3 linked regions of the Sus scrofa genome follow. The protein of the gene in region 1 interacts with the protein of each later gene in a pairwise test. Links are inferred from orthologs where the notes say so. Each region holds a gene or a part of one and is shown on either strand. Other genes may lie near its edges.

Evidence for each region.
Region 2: the proteins of CEP63 (region 1) and EZH2 interact in binary tests that used the Homo sapiens proteins (3 or more experiments, as listed by UniProt). The two-hybrid records come from large-scale screens. The link is inferred for Sus scrofa from reciprocal best matches to the Homo sapiens genes CEP63 and EZH2.
Region 3: the proteins of CEP63 (region 1) and ARFIP2 interact in binary tests that used the Homo sapiens proteins (3 or more experiments, as listed by UniProt). The link is inferred for Sus scrofa from reciprocal best matches to the Homo sapiens genes CEP63 and ARFIP2.

Annotation. Positions count from the first base shown.
Region 1 is NC_010455.5:75,604,119-75,609,397, forward strand, and holds the start of CEP63 (centrosomal protein of 63 kDa), read left to right. Parts: upstream 1-1,922; 5' UTR 1,923-1,994; coding exon 1,995-2,029; intron 2,030-2,062; exon of another isoform or gene 2,063-2,181; intron 2,182-4,459; exon of another isoform or gene 4,460-4,468; coding exon of another isoform or gene 4,469-4,497; intron 4,498-5,279. Other genes in the region: ANAPC13 (anaphase-promoting complex subunit 13), read right to left, coding at 44-142. UniProt on the Homo sapiens protein: Required for normal spindle assembly.
Region 2 is NC_010451.4:109,383,527-109,387,815, forward strand, and holds the start of EZH2 (histone-lysine N-methyltransferase EZH2), read left to right. Parts: upstream 1-1,489; 5' UTR 1,490-1,612; intron 1,613-1,636; exon of another isoform or gene 1,637-1,660; intron 1,661-4,289. UniProt on the Homo sapiens protein: Polycomb group (PcG) protein. Catalytic subunit of the PRC2/EED-EZH2 complex, which methylates 'Lys-9' (H3K9me) and 'Lys-27' (H3K27me) of histone H3, leading to transcriptional repression of the affected target gene.
Region 3 is NC_010451.4:3,248,800-3,252,810, reverse strand, and holds the start of ARFIP2 (arfaptin-2), read right to left. Parts: upstream 2,801-4,011; 5' UTR 2,646-2,800; intron 1,858-2,645; 5' UTR 1,816-1,857; coding exon 1,717-1,815; intron 1,462-1,716; coding exon 1,365-1,461; intron 646-1,364; coding exon 527-645; intron 344-526; coding exon 122-343; intron 1-121. Other genes in the region: TIMM10B (mitochondrial import inner membrane translocase subunit Tim10 B), read left to right, coding at 2,943-2,981, 3,183-3,278, 3,475-3,651. UniProt on the Homo sapiens protein: Plays a role in constitutive metalloproteinase (MMP) secretion from the trans Golgi network. May have important functions during vesicle biogenesis at certain cargo subdomains, which could be predominantly utilized by secreted MMPs, such as MMP7 and MMP2.

The DNA.
Region 1 (5,279 bases):
ATCAGACCTTTAACCCATCACCTCAGAATAAGCAGGGGCCTACCAGTGGTATTGCAACATCTTCATAAGGCAGCTTGTCCTCTCGCCAAGCATCGTCAATCAAATCCAAGATCCTTCCATCTCTCTGTACCTCACTGTCCATTTTCCTGCAGCTTTGCTCTTGCCAGATCTGAAAGCCAAAGAGGTTATTTCTTAAGCATGAGGAGATGATGTAATCTAGCACTAGGGGTTCTCCAAGCTTTTTAGCCTGGATGTGTCTTTTGGCATGATATCACTTTGGGAAAGACTCATCTCATCCGGGTCAGGTTATTTACAAGATCACAGTCCCTTCCAGCTGATTTTCCCAGTCACACACAGATCCCACCTTTCTGTAAGGGTTTCTCAGATCACTCCAGCTTCAGCCCACATCCTGCCCTTGATCTACCTTTTGTCCTTATGATCTACTAACCAAGTCAGGTCGACTTTGTGACCAACTGCTCAGGTATTACTGCTTCCAATTGCTGTGTGTAGTAAAATTTTTTGTCAGTGACTCAGCACATCTTTCCTCAATTTGGCCTCAATCTTTTTTCACCTGTCCCTCTTCCGAACACCTCTAACTCTGTTATCCTTTCCAGCCTTTGCACTCAAAGTTCTTTACCCCATCACTAACACACCCATTTTTCCTTCCAAACTCAAAGCTGGCGTCAGCTCATCAGAACCAACATGCCATTTCCAGAGTTAGGCGCTAAGGTGCCTTCTCTCTTCAGGGGCTGGAAAAAAGGAAAGCACAAGACGGGCAAAGAGGGGCAATGACCAGGAAATGACTACGTCTCAAACACTTGCCTCACTCAACAGAATGAAGCATTACCACTTTCCTGAACAAAGTTTTCTTACACATACGACTGTCCCAATGCCTGGAATGCTCTGTCTTCTTCCTTTTTTCCCCAGCTAACCCCAAACTGTCCAAAAAATTTAGCTCCCAGGTCGTCTTCTGCAGGAGTCGTTCTCTAAGAGCCAGAAGAGCGCAGTCCCCGCCCCTCCGCGGGTCCCATAGTTCTCTGGGCACAGAGAATGATCCCCATCAGGATCTTGGTATATTGCCTGTCACACGGTCTTTCCAGACACGAGACGCCTGCGTTTCCCGGGGGGAGGGCAGTTTTATTCATCTCTGCTTTAGAGCTCTGTGAAACATGCAGTTACATGAGCAAAACTGGGACGCCTTTTCCCTCGCTAGAAATGACCCTCTCGGGCCACCACCGTCCATACAGGCCTGGGAGGCCGCCCCACAGCCACGGCTTCCGGCCCGAGGCGGGATATACCAAATGCGGAAGCGAGGGGGGGGGGTCCGGACAGCCAAGCAAGTTCCCCTCCTCCCCGCCCAACGTGTGGTAAGAGAAGTGGTTAGGAGGGAGAGGATGATGTGAAAACAACGACCTAAGCCAAGAGAAACGGCAGGAGTCCGAACGCGCTCCCGTATCTCCAGACCCTACATTACGTGCGCGCAAACCCTTTTACCAGCCCCAAACCCAGCGTGTCACACACCCCCGCCGACCGCGCCCTCAGCATCACGTGACCCAGACGTCCTTCACTTTCCGATCCCCGGATGTGGGTGAGCCCATTTGCCGGAGCACAGGGGGAGTTAGGGAGGACATTGTTTTAATTAAAAGTGAAGGAGCAGTGGGCAAAACGAACGTGCTGACTGCTGTGGCTGGACGTCAGGTTGGCGGTGCCGCGCGTGCGCACCCCCAGCCGTAGGTAACGGCGGGAAGGCTCGGGGAGCGCTCGCGGCAGCCCTTAACCGCATTGCGAACGTCGGACGGGCGAGGGGCGGCCGTCTCTGGGCCTGGAGGTAGCCCTGGCTGCGGTGGGGCCGCGGGCCGAGCGGCCGAATGGCCTGGGGCCTGCTTCCTCAGCCGCCCGCTGGCCTCCAGGCCCGCCCCCGCCGGCCCGGCTCCGCCCCGGCGCCCCGCCCCCCGGCCTTTTCGCTGACGCCCGGCTGACCCGCGAAGCCGGATATGGCCTCCCTCGGCGTGCGGTCCCGGCCAGCCAGGTGGTCAGCTCTTACCTAGAGACCGGGCCGGCGGGAGGGCGGCGGGGTGGGCGAGCTGCTCGTCTTCCCGGAGCGGAGTTAGCCGCGGGCCACTCTTCCACTTCAGGGGAGGGATCCTCGGCAAGGCCCTCTCGCCTGGGCTGCCTCATCTGGTTAGCTTCTTAGCATTGTTGCGACTTAGGTCATTGATGGCAGGTGATAGCGGTTCATTCACGGGTGGGAAGTTTAGCAAGTTTTAAAAAGTGAGTTGGTTAAAAACGTATTGGAGGTACAGAAATGTGGCAGAAAACATGAAGGACTCAATTGGGGAACCCTGGACTTAGGGATCCATACAAATCAGGGATGGGAAATAAATGATAAATTGAGGAAATAAAAGGTATAGGTCCTTAGAACACTTTAATCATCAAGATACTTTAAGGCGGTAAATCTAGGCTTATAATGAGGTTTTTCTTATGCTTCTTGAAACAGTAAAGATGAGTCCGCTGTCAGCGACTACTCTTCCTTTGCAATTACAGTACATTTCTTTGCACAAAGTAGTTTTCCTTGAGCCTTACAGACAGTTCCTTAAACCAGTCTTTAAGAATTTTTTCTTCTTTTAATAAAGCAGTATTGTAGGGTTAGTGCCCTGTGGTAATAGTTTCCCACATGCGTGCATTTAATTTTCTAGACATGAAGAGGAAATCAAGGATTATTAACTACATGCTACCTTCGAATATTTATATTTATACTGATCACAACTGTAGCTTAATTATATAATAAAGTGTATGTGTTTTATTTTGAATACCGTATCCTTTTTTTTTTTTTTTTGTCTTTTTGCTATTTCTTGGGCCGCTCCTGCGGCATATGGAGGTTCCCAGGCTAGGGGTTGAATCGGAGCTGTAGCCACCTGCCTACGCCAGAGCCACAGCAACGCGGGATCCGAGCCGCGTCTGCAACCTACACCACAGCTCATGGCAAAGCCGGATCGTTAACCCACTGAGCAAGGGCAGGGACCGAACCCGCAACCTCATGGTTCCTAGTCGGATTCGTTAACCACTGTGCCACGAGGGGAACTCCCCATATCATTTTTAGATGGATTTTTATTCTGCCTTTTGATTATATCATTATCAGTGATTAGTAAGAAAGACAAATTAAAACGGGTTAGACATTTATAAACTTTCACTTTAAAATGAACTGCACTTTAAAATGTATGTTGATTCAGTTTTTAAAATTATTTCTAGTAATTGTGTATATTAATAGTACTGAAGCCACTCTTCTCCCATTAAAGGTAGAACACTCTTGCTTGATCCTACCTGTTCTTACTTGTGTACTAGTGGTGGTAGGTGGTGACAGCATCAGTAGTAGTCCACTTTATCAGAACTTCCTACTTTTAAATGTATATTAACTTGATTTGAAATTCACCTAAAGCCAGCGTTGACATATGTTTCAGGAATTGAATTTTTGGTCTTTATGGTATTTTAGGCTTTCTTCCTTCAATAATTAGTGTTTTCAGTTTTACAAAATTGTATTACTGTCATCACATCTATGACAATTAGTAAAATACCCGAAATGTCAATATTTAGTCTGAGTTTGGATTTCCCCAATTGTCCCAAATACGTGTTTTTACAGTTAGCTTGTTTGGATCAAAGTCCTTTAGAGACCCATTTGTTGCATTGGGTTGATACACCTTTTAGAAGTTTTTTATATGGCAGTTTTGTTGCCTCCCTTATTTCCCTTAACATTCTAGATTTAGTTGATTGCATCCACATAGTATCCTTTAACTTATATATCTATTCCCTTTATCACCTTTAAACTGGTAGTAAGGTCTAGAATTGCCCTGTCTAATATAGCAGGCACCAGCCAGCTATGGCTGTCTAAATGAATTAAAATAGGAAAAAACCCCAAAAATTTCAGTTCCCTAGTTGCATTGGCCACATTTCAAGTGCATGATAGTCACAGATGCCTAATGGCTACTATTTGAATTGTATATATAAAGATTTCCATAATTGCATAAAGGTCTTTTGAACAGTACTGATCTAGAAACTCGATCAGATTCAGCCTTGACTCTTTGGGAAGGGTGAGGGTGGGGCAAGATTTCATAGTTGGTGCAAAACAGTAATGTCCAAGTTTTTTCTCTTTGGTGTTACAACTGGGCAGCTATGGGGGTTCAGGTGTTGTCAGTCCAGTTTATCCATGATGAAATTCCCTGTGAACCTTTCACTTAATGGTGAGATCCTGTCCTGGATTTAGATTGCTTATATCCATTATTGCATTAGAGTTTGCAATATGGTGATTCTTTGATTCTATCCTCAGTATTTAATTAGCTGGAAATTTTTTGTGAAGAAGAACTTTTTACTTCAGCAAGCTATTTGACTACCCCGCCAGCTGTTTGCAATACAGTTTGTATAGGAAAGACAAGAAAAATGCTGAATTCTTTCCCTCTATTTCCAGAGTACAGTAATGAGTTGGTGGCCTAGCAATCTCCAAAGGTAACCATGAGCGTTTTGCCTTTTTTTTAAAAAAATCATCATGAACTTACAGACTTGAATATATTTAAACTGTTTCAACCTAGTGCGGGTTTTGGGGGGGGGTTGGGTACTTAACTTGTCCTGTTGTTGGCCAGTAGTAGCCTGAATAAGTTGTCTTTTGTCCACTTTGAGAGTTTCCTTATTGTTGAGTAAAAGGTGTTATTGGCTTATTTGTATATTTCCGACCACTAAGAAGCCCTGATTCCTTTGAGTGGATACTAGAGGTATACTTGCTGCTAGGCTGGCCATTGGTTTTAGGATTTAGTGCTCGAAGTTAGGAAATATGTACTTTTTTTCTTGAAGAGAAATACACAGAATTCACATGATATTTCTAATTTATTATTTATTTACTCACACTGATATTTCCTATTTATTTATTTATTTATTTTTCTTTTTAGGGCCACACTCATGGCATATGGAAGTTCCCAGGCTAGGGGTTGAATTGGAGCTGCAGCTTCTGGCTTACGCCACAGCCACAGCAAAGCCAGATCGGAGTTGCATCTTCAACCTCCACTGCAGCTCAGGGCAACACCAGATCCTTAACCCACTGAGCAAGGCCAGGGATGGAACAGCGTCCTCATGGATACTAGTCAGGTTCTTTACTGCTGAGCCACAACAGGAACCTCCCAATTTAATTTTATAATTTTTTAAAAACAACTTATTTAATATGTATCCTTTTCTCTTTTGCTGAAAGTCATGGTACCTAATGTTATTAACATGGTTACTTTTTTTCTTATGTATAA
Region 2 (4,289 bases), on another chromosome or scaffold:
GTCCTTTAAAAATGTAGCTAAAAATACTAAGTATATGATTTCGTTAGGCTTTTAACTCCAGTTCCTAGTTGACTATCCTCCCCGCCCTCCATCTGAACTCTCAATCTGTTTACATGGGTGAACGATTGTTTTGCCCTATTCCTGCATCCTATTGAAAATAAATTCAGGAGATCCCGTGGCGCAGCAGAAACTAATCCAACTAGGAACCATGCCTGAGGTTGCAGTTAGATCCCTGGCCTTGTTGAGCTGTGGAGTAGGTCGCAGATACGGCTTGGAGCCTGAGTTGCTGTGGCTGTGGTGTAGGCCGGATTCCACCCCTGGCCTGGGAAACTCCATACGCCTCGGATGAGGCCCTAAAAAGAAAAAAAAGAAAATTCAGAATAACCTTACCTTCACTGTCAGATAAATTAAAAGGGGAAACTGCATCCTAAACAGAATATTTCTAATTCTTATGGGTTGATACAGGCTCACCCGCAGATCATTTTTTTTTTTAACACTTGAAAGATGCTGCAATCATCCCAATTTTTTCCAGAGGCGTTAGCTCGAGGCAAGTGAACCCCACTCACCCCTGATAAATGATTAACGTTGACACGTGTTTGGAACTACAAACGCTGGAAGGTGCCGAACAAGGCGCTCAGAATGAGGAAACTGAAATAACAGTAGGGCTGCTGTTTCCCAGGTTTCTAAGGAGATGGGCACTGCGGCCTCGACCAACCAAAGTCCAGCGGGCCAGGGGATCTGAGTCGGGCCAAGCCACTGAGGGGCTTAGCAGAAAAAGTAGCTGGCAGAGCGCTCTGCTCGCACCGGAGGCGGCGCGCCAGTCCGACCAGACCGCGAAAGGCTCGGGGCTCCTCGCCCGAAACGAACCAGATTGGAGCCCGGACCGCAGAGCGTAACTGGCCGGCAATCGGGGTACCTCGCGCGCGTCCGCCGGCCGGCCTGCGCTTCGGCTCCGCGCGCGGGGAAAAGAGCGCGGCAGTTGAAACCGTTACCACCCCCGAGTTTTGAACTGGTTCAAACTTGGCTATCGGCCCCGCCCCGCCCCTCCGGCCCGGGAACTCTGAGGCTGCCGGCGGTTCCCGCCAAGCGCCGCGAGCGCGCCGTCCCGCCCCCTGGTCGGTTCCCGCCATCCTGCCCTGGCCGCCTCCCGCCCGCGGCCCGGGATTCGGGCTGCAGAGGCCCCATCGTCCCAGCCAGCCGACCCACCGCCTTCCTGAGAGGCGCCGTGCGTTCGGCGAAAGAACAAAGAGACGGCGCAGCGCTTCCACTCGGCGGCCGCGTCCCTCAGCGCCCGCCCGCTCGCGCGCACGCGCCGCCGGCCCGGCCCGGCTGAGTCCCGCGGGCTCCTCTGCGTGGGGCTGGCTCGCCGCCACGGAGCCCGGCGGGCCTTGTGATTGGACGGGAGCCCGCCTCGCGGCCCGCCAATCGGGGCGGCGCTTAGTTGGACAGGGGGGGCCAAATAAAAGCGATGGCGATTGGGCTGCCGGGTTTGGCGCTTGGTCCGGGAGCGTCCGACACCCACTGGGACGCAGAAGGCGGTGGAAGCCCGGCGGCGGTGGTGGCGCGCGGGAGCGGCGCGCGGGAGCGGAGCGGGCTGGGGCGCGGGGCTCAGGTAGCGTGCCGCTGTCGGGCCGGCCGGCCAGCGGGGCTCCGAAGCTCGGTGAGGGGCGGCGGCGGCGCCGGGATATCCCCGCCACCCCTCCGGGTATCGCCCAGAGCGGGCTTTCCCGGGGCGCCGCTTTGGCTGGAGGGGTGAGAGGAGACCCCTCGGAAGGGGCCGTGGCTTTGGGCTGGCCCGCGCGACCGCGGGGGCGGGCAGCGCCGCACCTGGCGACCTAAGGCGGGACCCCGGGCGGGCGCCCTGGGGGGCGAGCCGAGGGGTCTTCTCGCGCGCCCGCCCTTCGGGAGGCGCGGCGGCTGGGCTGGGGGCGCTCCGGTGCTCGGGGCGGGCCGGCCGCCCGAGCCCCTGTCTCCTTTGTGTGGAGCGTCGCGGCGGGAGCGCCCGGGTGGGACGGGACGCACACAAGTTGGTGGGACCTCGGCACCGAGTGCACACTCAGACAAAGGACGGACTGTGTCTCGGGGGAGCTCGGCGCGGGGAAGGGGCAGTGACACCCGGGCCTGACAGCGGGCGGGAGAGGGGCGTGGGGAGCGCGGGCCGCGGCGCAGGGGGCGGGCTGGGCCCCACGCCCCCTCCCCGCGAGCGCGCAGGCTCGGCCGGGGCCGAGGGGGCCGGGGCGGCGCTGGGAACCGAACTCGGAGCGGCTGCGGGTCTGACATTTCCCCGGAAAGCACCCCCGAACCCCTCGTCTCCACCCGCTCTGACGAGGCGGTCCCGGCCGCCTTTACCCCCTCGGCTGGCTTTCTGTTAAGTTTGAGGAAGGGTCGAGCCGTTCTCCCCCCGCTCGGTTTTGTTCGTTTCGGAGGGCTTTTCGTCGAGTTTCCGCGTCATTGTCCACCCCCCCAAAAAAAGTCGGTGCCATCAGGTCCCTTTTTGAAAATTGGAGGAATCGAGAAGCATGATATTTTGAAATGAAAACTTGGTGAACTCACGCCTGCTGAGTTCCCGCTTTCTAAAGAATCATATTTTTTTTAAAAAATTACATGCTCTTTCGGCCAACTTATGTGATACATCTGAGACTGGCGACAGGTGCTAACGAAATCAACTGTCATTTAGTAAGAGATTATTCTCCAAATCCCCAGGGATTGAATGAGGATGCGATGGTAGAAAGAATTGATCAAGCAAAATGTTTATGACAAATGTGTGTTTAGGTGGTCTGGTTAGCAATTCGTCATTAATTGGTCTTGTTTTCCGTGAACAATAGCTTTGTTGAGTCAGAAAAGACTGACTACAGAAATGTTTGTTGCCTAAGAAATTGAACGTGTGCTGTCCACAGTTAAGCTAAACTTCCTTTGTTTGTCACACAGGATCTGTAAAATTTAAGTCATTTGGAAACAAAGATATGTCTTTGGTATTTAAAAATATTTTACTTCAAGGTTTACTTTCTGGGTTTTAAAGGTCATTTATCGGATTAATTTTGTGGCTTTTTAATGTCACATAAAACACCATTTAAGAAAATCTTTAAAAAACACTAATGCTGATACAGTTGAATGTAGGCTATACTTCTAAGGGATTTTAAGAGCGTGTGGGATCCTAACCATTAGACCACCAGGGAGCTAGGGGGTTTGGAGTTTATTTTCCACTACTCTTCATTCATCACCGTTAGCAACTATTTTATGTTTGGAAATAAAATGTAGAACAAGTGTGTAATCCTAACAAGTTTATTGATAATTTTATTTCAAGAAAATGAAAGTATTTATGACCTATTTTAATTTCCTTTTCATATTACCTAAAGTTAGGAGTAGGTAGGGTTCTAGTCCTGGATGTAAAGAATCCTTTCTCTCTTTGTGGTGGTGTATTTGGGAATTTAATGCTTAAGTTCTTGAAAACACTTAGGAAAATGGCATCTTAAATTCTAGTCTTTGTGGCAGGGGAATATCTTCAAAGAAGAGGAATTTAGGAACATAGCACCGATTTGCATTGTTCTATCTGATGATCTAATGTTCACCCTACCATCTTACGGTTTCATAAATATGGAGACAAAGAAATGCAGTGTAAAAGTCTTTATTACATATTTTGCAGTGTTAGACACCGCTGAACAGACATTCCAGGTGCTGTCCTAAGTATTGTTTACTGTATTAGTTGCTAGTAATTATCTATTAAAAAGTCCTCCTGATAATCTGGCCTCTTGTTATAAGATGAGCTAGTTAGGGAGATTTTGGTAGATATTTGGATCTTTTAGGATAAGAAATTGCAGTTTTTCCTTACTTGTTTGTGTACACTATATTTGGCAATTACTGTCTTTGTAGTTGCCACAAGATTTATTTTTAAGTTTTTTTGGGGGAATTGGTTTTTAATTTTTTATTTGATTTGAAAATGTATTTAAGTAGCAGTGATTAAAAAAACCACACTTGTTGATTTAGTGAAGTTAGGCACACAAAAAAGCTGTAATACTTTGATATCAGCTTTGCCTTGCACACATACATATAGGTGATTGTCTTTGTGTTGGCCACTTAAAATTTTTAGGCAGATTTCCCCAGGTTACACTGAGGCTTTCTAGGATATCTTCCATCCTTTGAGCTGGCATGCTTAAGGAGAACGAATTAGTTTCCATCTTGGCCTAAAAAGCGGTAATTAAGAAAGTTGATTTTTTAAAAAATCAACAGCAATAAAAAAATCCTCTGATCTCATGCATTCTGGGGTTAATTAGAAATGACCAGTGGATTTG
Region 3 (4,011 bases), on another chromosome or scaffold:
CCCACCCTGGAGGGGTTCTCCCTCTGGGCTGCAGGAGGGAGGGAGGAGGGAGGCTGAGGGGTGACTGCCTGGGAGGGCCCCGGGCCCAGGCCCCCCTCCCCCTCTGGCCTGCCCAAGGCACCTGAAGCTCTGGGGACTTCTGGCTGAGGTCAGCAAAGGCATCCCCCAGTGCATGCTGGGTCTGCAGCAGGCTGTAGAGGTGGGCTGTCAGGGCCCGGCCCAGCTGCAGGACACTCTCATACTTGCGCTTCGTCTCACGCAGCAGCTCAATTTGCAGCTCTAGCTCCAGGTCCACAGTCCGGGAGCCTCGGCCAAACCGCTCTGATAACAGCTGCTTTGTGCACTGAGTGGGAAGTGGGGGAACAGGTCAGAGACCCTGGCGCCCGGCCCTGCCCCGCAGCAAGTGTCTACCCCGGCGTCCCCAGACTCCAAGTCTCAGCCCGAGATGATGGGACAGGAGGATCCGCAAGATGGGGAAGAGGTACCCGGGGGAGCTCAGGGGGCGGAGGAGGTGCGTGAATCCCACCTTATACGTGTTGATGCCCCATTTCTTGACGATGTCGAACTTCTCTCCAGCGATGCCCCGGGCCACCTCATCCCCGGGGCCAGCAGGAGGGGCGCTGTGAGATGGATGGCGGCCAGACCCTAAAGGACCAAGTTCTCTGACACCAGCCTCTCTCAGACACAATCCGACGCCTCTGTGGTTCCACCCACACTTCCCTCCCAGCACATGAAAATGACGCCCCGGAAGGAGCAGGGCTGGAGACTCACTAGGAGGAATTCATGCCTTGGACCCTGAGACCCAATCCCAACATACACCTGGCCTCCTTTTGACGTGGAGGTGAGGACTGGAAAGGGAGGTGGGAGGGGTTGCTCGTGTGCAGGGGCAGAGGAAACAGCGGAGACTAGGCTGAGAATGGGGTCGCTGACCATGGCTGGGCGCCCCTCGAACCGAACACCTGGCTGACATTCCCATGTGGATCCCAGTCACTGCGAGATTCAGGGCTGCTTGTTCCTCTAAATAGCAGAGTCTAACGTAAGACTCTGATAAGCCTCTCAAAGCTCCAAATCAGATTCAAGCTCCAGAGCAGGGGAGGCCTGGTGAACAGAGTTCTCTGCCTGACTCAGGTAGTGACGGCAGAGAAGGGACAAGTGGGCATATCTGAGGGACAAAGTGGCAAGTGGAGGCAGATGGACACCCCTGGGAACGGGCCTTGGGCTGAGATGCCCGCGGGTTCATCCTGGCAGAGGTTCCCACGAGCTCCAGACATGATTCACGCCTTCTTAGACGTATCCTATGCCCCCTGGAGCCAGTCCTCTTCCCCTCTCCACTCAATGCCCTATCCTGCTCTGATCATTCATACCTGTGGGGATGAGTCCATCACCAGAGCCCCCATAGCCACCAGACACAATGCTGGTTTCATTGAGGTTGGGTCCTGACACCATCACCTGCTGGAGGTCCTATAGGCCAGAGAAGAGGGGGGCTTCAGGAACATATGGGCAGCTGAAGCATTTTGGGGGTGAAAACAAGCTTGGATTGAAGCATCATAGAGAGAGCACACAAGGGAAGTCTGCACAGAATCAGAACAAAGATTGGTAAAAAGACTGAAGGAAATCAGGTGAGTTGGGGGAAGGCTACTGGAAGAAGGAGAGAGCTCAGGGTTTAAGAGTTGGGATTCCTCAACTGAAACAATGTGAAGAATCAAACAGAAGCACCTGCTCCAGCCCATCATCCTCAGGAAGCTGCCCCGCGTCACCATTCCCGTGGATGGGGATCTCCATTGTGGCTGCCTTCCCTAGGATCCCGTCCGTCATGGCGAGCGAAGGGACTGGAGTCAAAGTCTCCACCCCAGCGCCCTGCAAAGCCCAACACAGACAGTTCTGGAAACGGGCCAGTTCTCCGAAGAGGAAGGTCTCCCCTGCCCTTGCAGAGGCCGTCCCGGGGCTTCAGTGTGGTGGGGTCTGCCCACCACTCTTCCCTCGGGGCTTTGTCTTTCTCCCTTCCAAGGTGCAAAGTTTTACACACAGGCACCCAGGCCTCAGGTGTGCCTGACCAGAGGTCATGTTCTCATGACCCCCCCACCCCCACCCCCCCAGCAGTCCAGGGATCATTCATGCATTCAGTCCTTCCACAGACATTTAATGAGTGCCTACTACATGCCACGCACTATTTGAGGCAATGGAGAGAAAGCCTGTGCTCTCAAGCAGCTTATCCCCACGCAGGTATTCCTCCTCATCAGGAGACAATCCCTTTCCCAGCGCTCAGGTGCCTATCCCCGTTCAGGTATGTTCGCCATTGTTTGGCCTTTCACACTCCTCTAATGTCTCCTCCTCTTTCCTGCAGGTGGTCTCCCCCTCCTCCATCCCATGCACCCCCTCTTCCTGCCCCCACCCCCGCCCCAGGCCTTAGTTGAATCAGTTGGTGTAAGTTCCCGACCCCGGGGAAAAGTCCCTTTGCCCCAGGACATAGGGAGGTGATCCCTTCCAAAGTCAGTTAGGTCTCCCCAGGTGTGTGAGTCTCCGCCCTCCCCCCATACACCTGGGCGTCAGGTGTGTCCTCATCCTTTCCCAGGGCTCAGAAGCATCTTGCCCTCAGGTCAGGTTCGTGCGTTCACCTTGCCCTCGCCCATGCACGTCCCTCTCACCTCGGGCCGGGCCGCTCTTCCCCTCAGGGCGCCAGGCCCGGGCCGCGCGGGGATCTCGGGATCCAGTTCCCGTCGCGATCCTAGCAGCAGGTCAGGGACTCGGCGGAAGTGACGTCCTCTCCCGGGCAGAAGAAGCCGGCCACGTAGCCGATTATGAGGGCGGAAGTGACGTCGCGGGGAGGTGGGCGGGCGCTCCTTGAGCCAACCCCTCTGCCCCTGGGGAGCCATTGAGGTCACTTCCGGGGCGTTCCCTAGAAGCTGTAACGGAAGTGACGTAGGTTGTGCGCCGGCGGCGTGATGGAACAGCAACAGCAGCAGCAGCAGCAGCTGAGAAACGTGAGTGGGAGCTAAGTCGCTTAAGGGCCCTGCATCCAGCTAGCATCCCTGTTCGCATGGCGGAAACCCCAGAGAGCCAGGCATCCAAGGGCTGGGAACCACGGGCCGTGGTACACGGTCCTGGGAAAGCGCCGGCAGCGCGGCCTTGAGTTGAGACGTGGCCCCCTCTTCGCTGAGTTCCTTGTCCCCCTTCCTCCCCAGTTGCGGGACTTCCTGTTGGTCTACAATCGGATGACGGAACTCTGCTTCCAGCGCTGCGTGCCCAGCCTGCATCACCGAGCTCTGGATGCCGAGGAGGTTAGGTGGGGGAACTGAGTAGGGAAGTGCTCCTCGAGCCTCAGAGCTAACCGTGCACTGCTTCCCTCTCCCGTCAATTCCCCTACGTCCGGCCCTGGCTTCCCACGACCTCCGCCCTGAGGCTGGGGATGGGAAGGAGGGAAACGGACCTGACTGGACACCTTTGGCTTCTACTTCCACCCTGTCTTCCTTCCAGGAGGCCTGTCTGCACAGCTGTGCCGGGAAGCTGATCCATTCCAACCACCGCCTCATGGCCGCTTACGTGCAGCTCATGCCTGCCCTGGTACAGCGCCGCATCGCTGACTACGAGGCTGCCTCAGCTGTGCCAGGTGTTGCTGCTGAACAGCCAGAAGCCTCGCCATCTGGCAGCTAGCTGTCCTCAACGCTGAGAAGGGAGGCACTGGATGGACCCTCACGTTGAAGGAGCAGTGGACCTTGGGCAAGATGGAGCCTGTATGTAGAGAATGAGGAGTTGCCTGAGAGCTAGGTACTGTTGCTCCTTTTCCTGGAGCTAATAAACCTGCTGTAATCTGTGCGGTTGATATTCTGGGCAGGGAGAAGTTGCCTTCTGTGTGTGGAAGGAAAACCTCAGCATTCCCAGGCACCTGGTTAAAGGAAGGTCTGTGGGTACAGCTTTAAAATTGGCAACAAGACGCTGGTTCGTGCCCAGACGGCAGAGAAAATGGGAACTCTGTCCTTAAATCTGTCTGACTTAAATGGTTCGCTTAGAGAT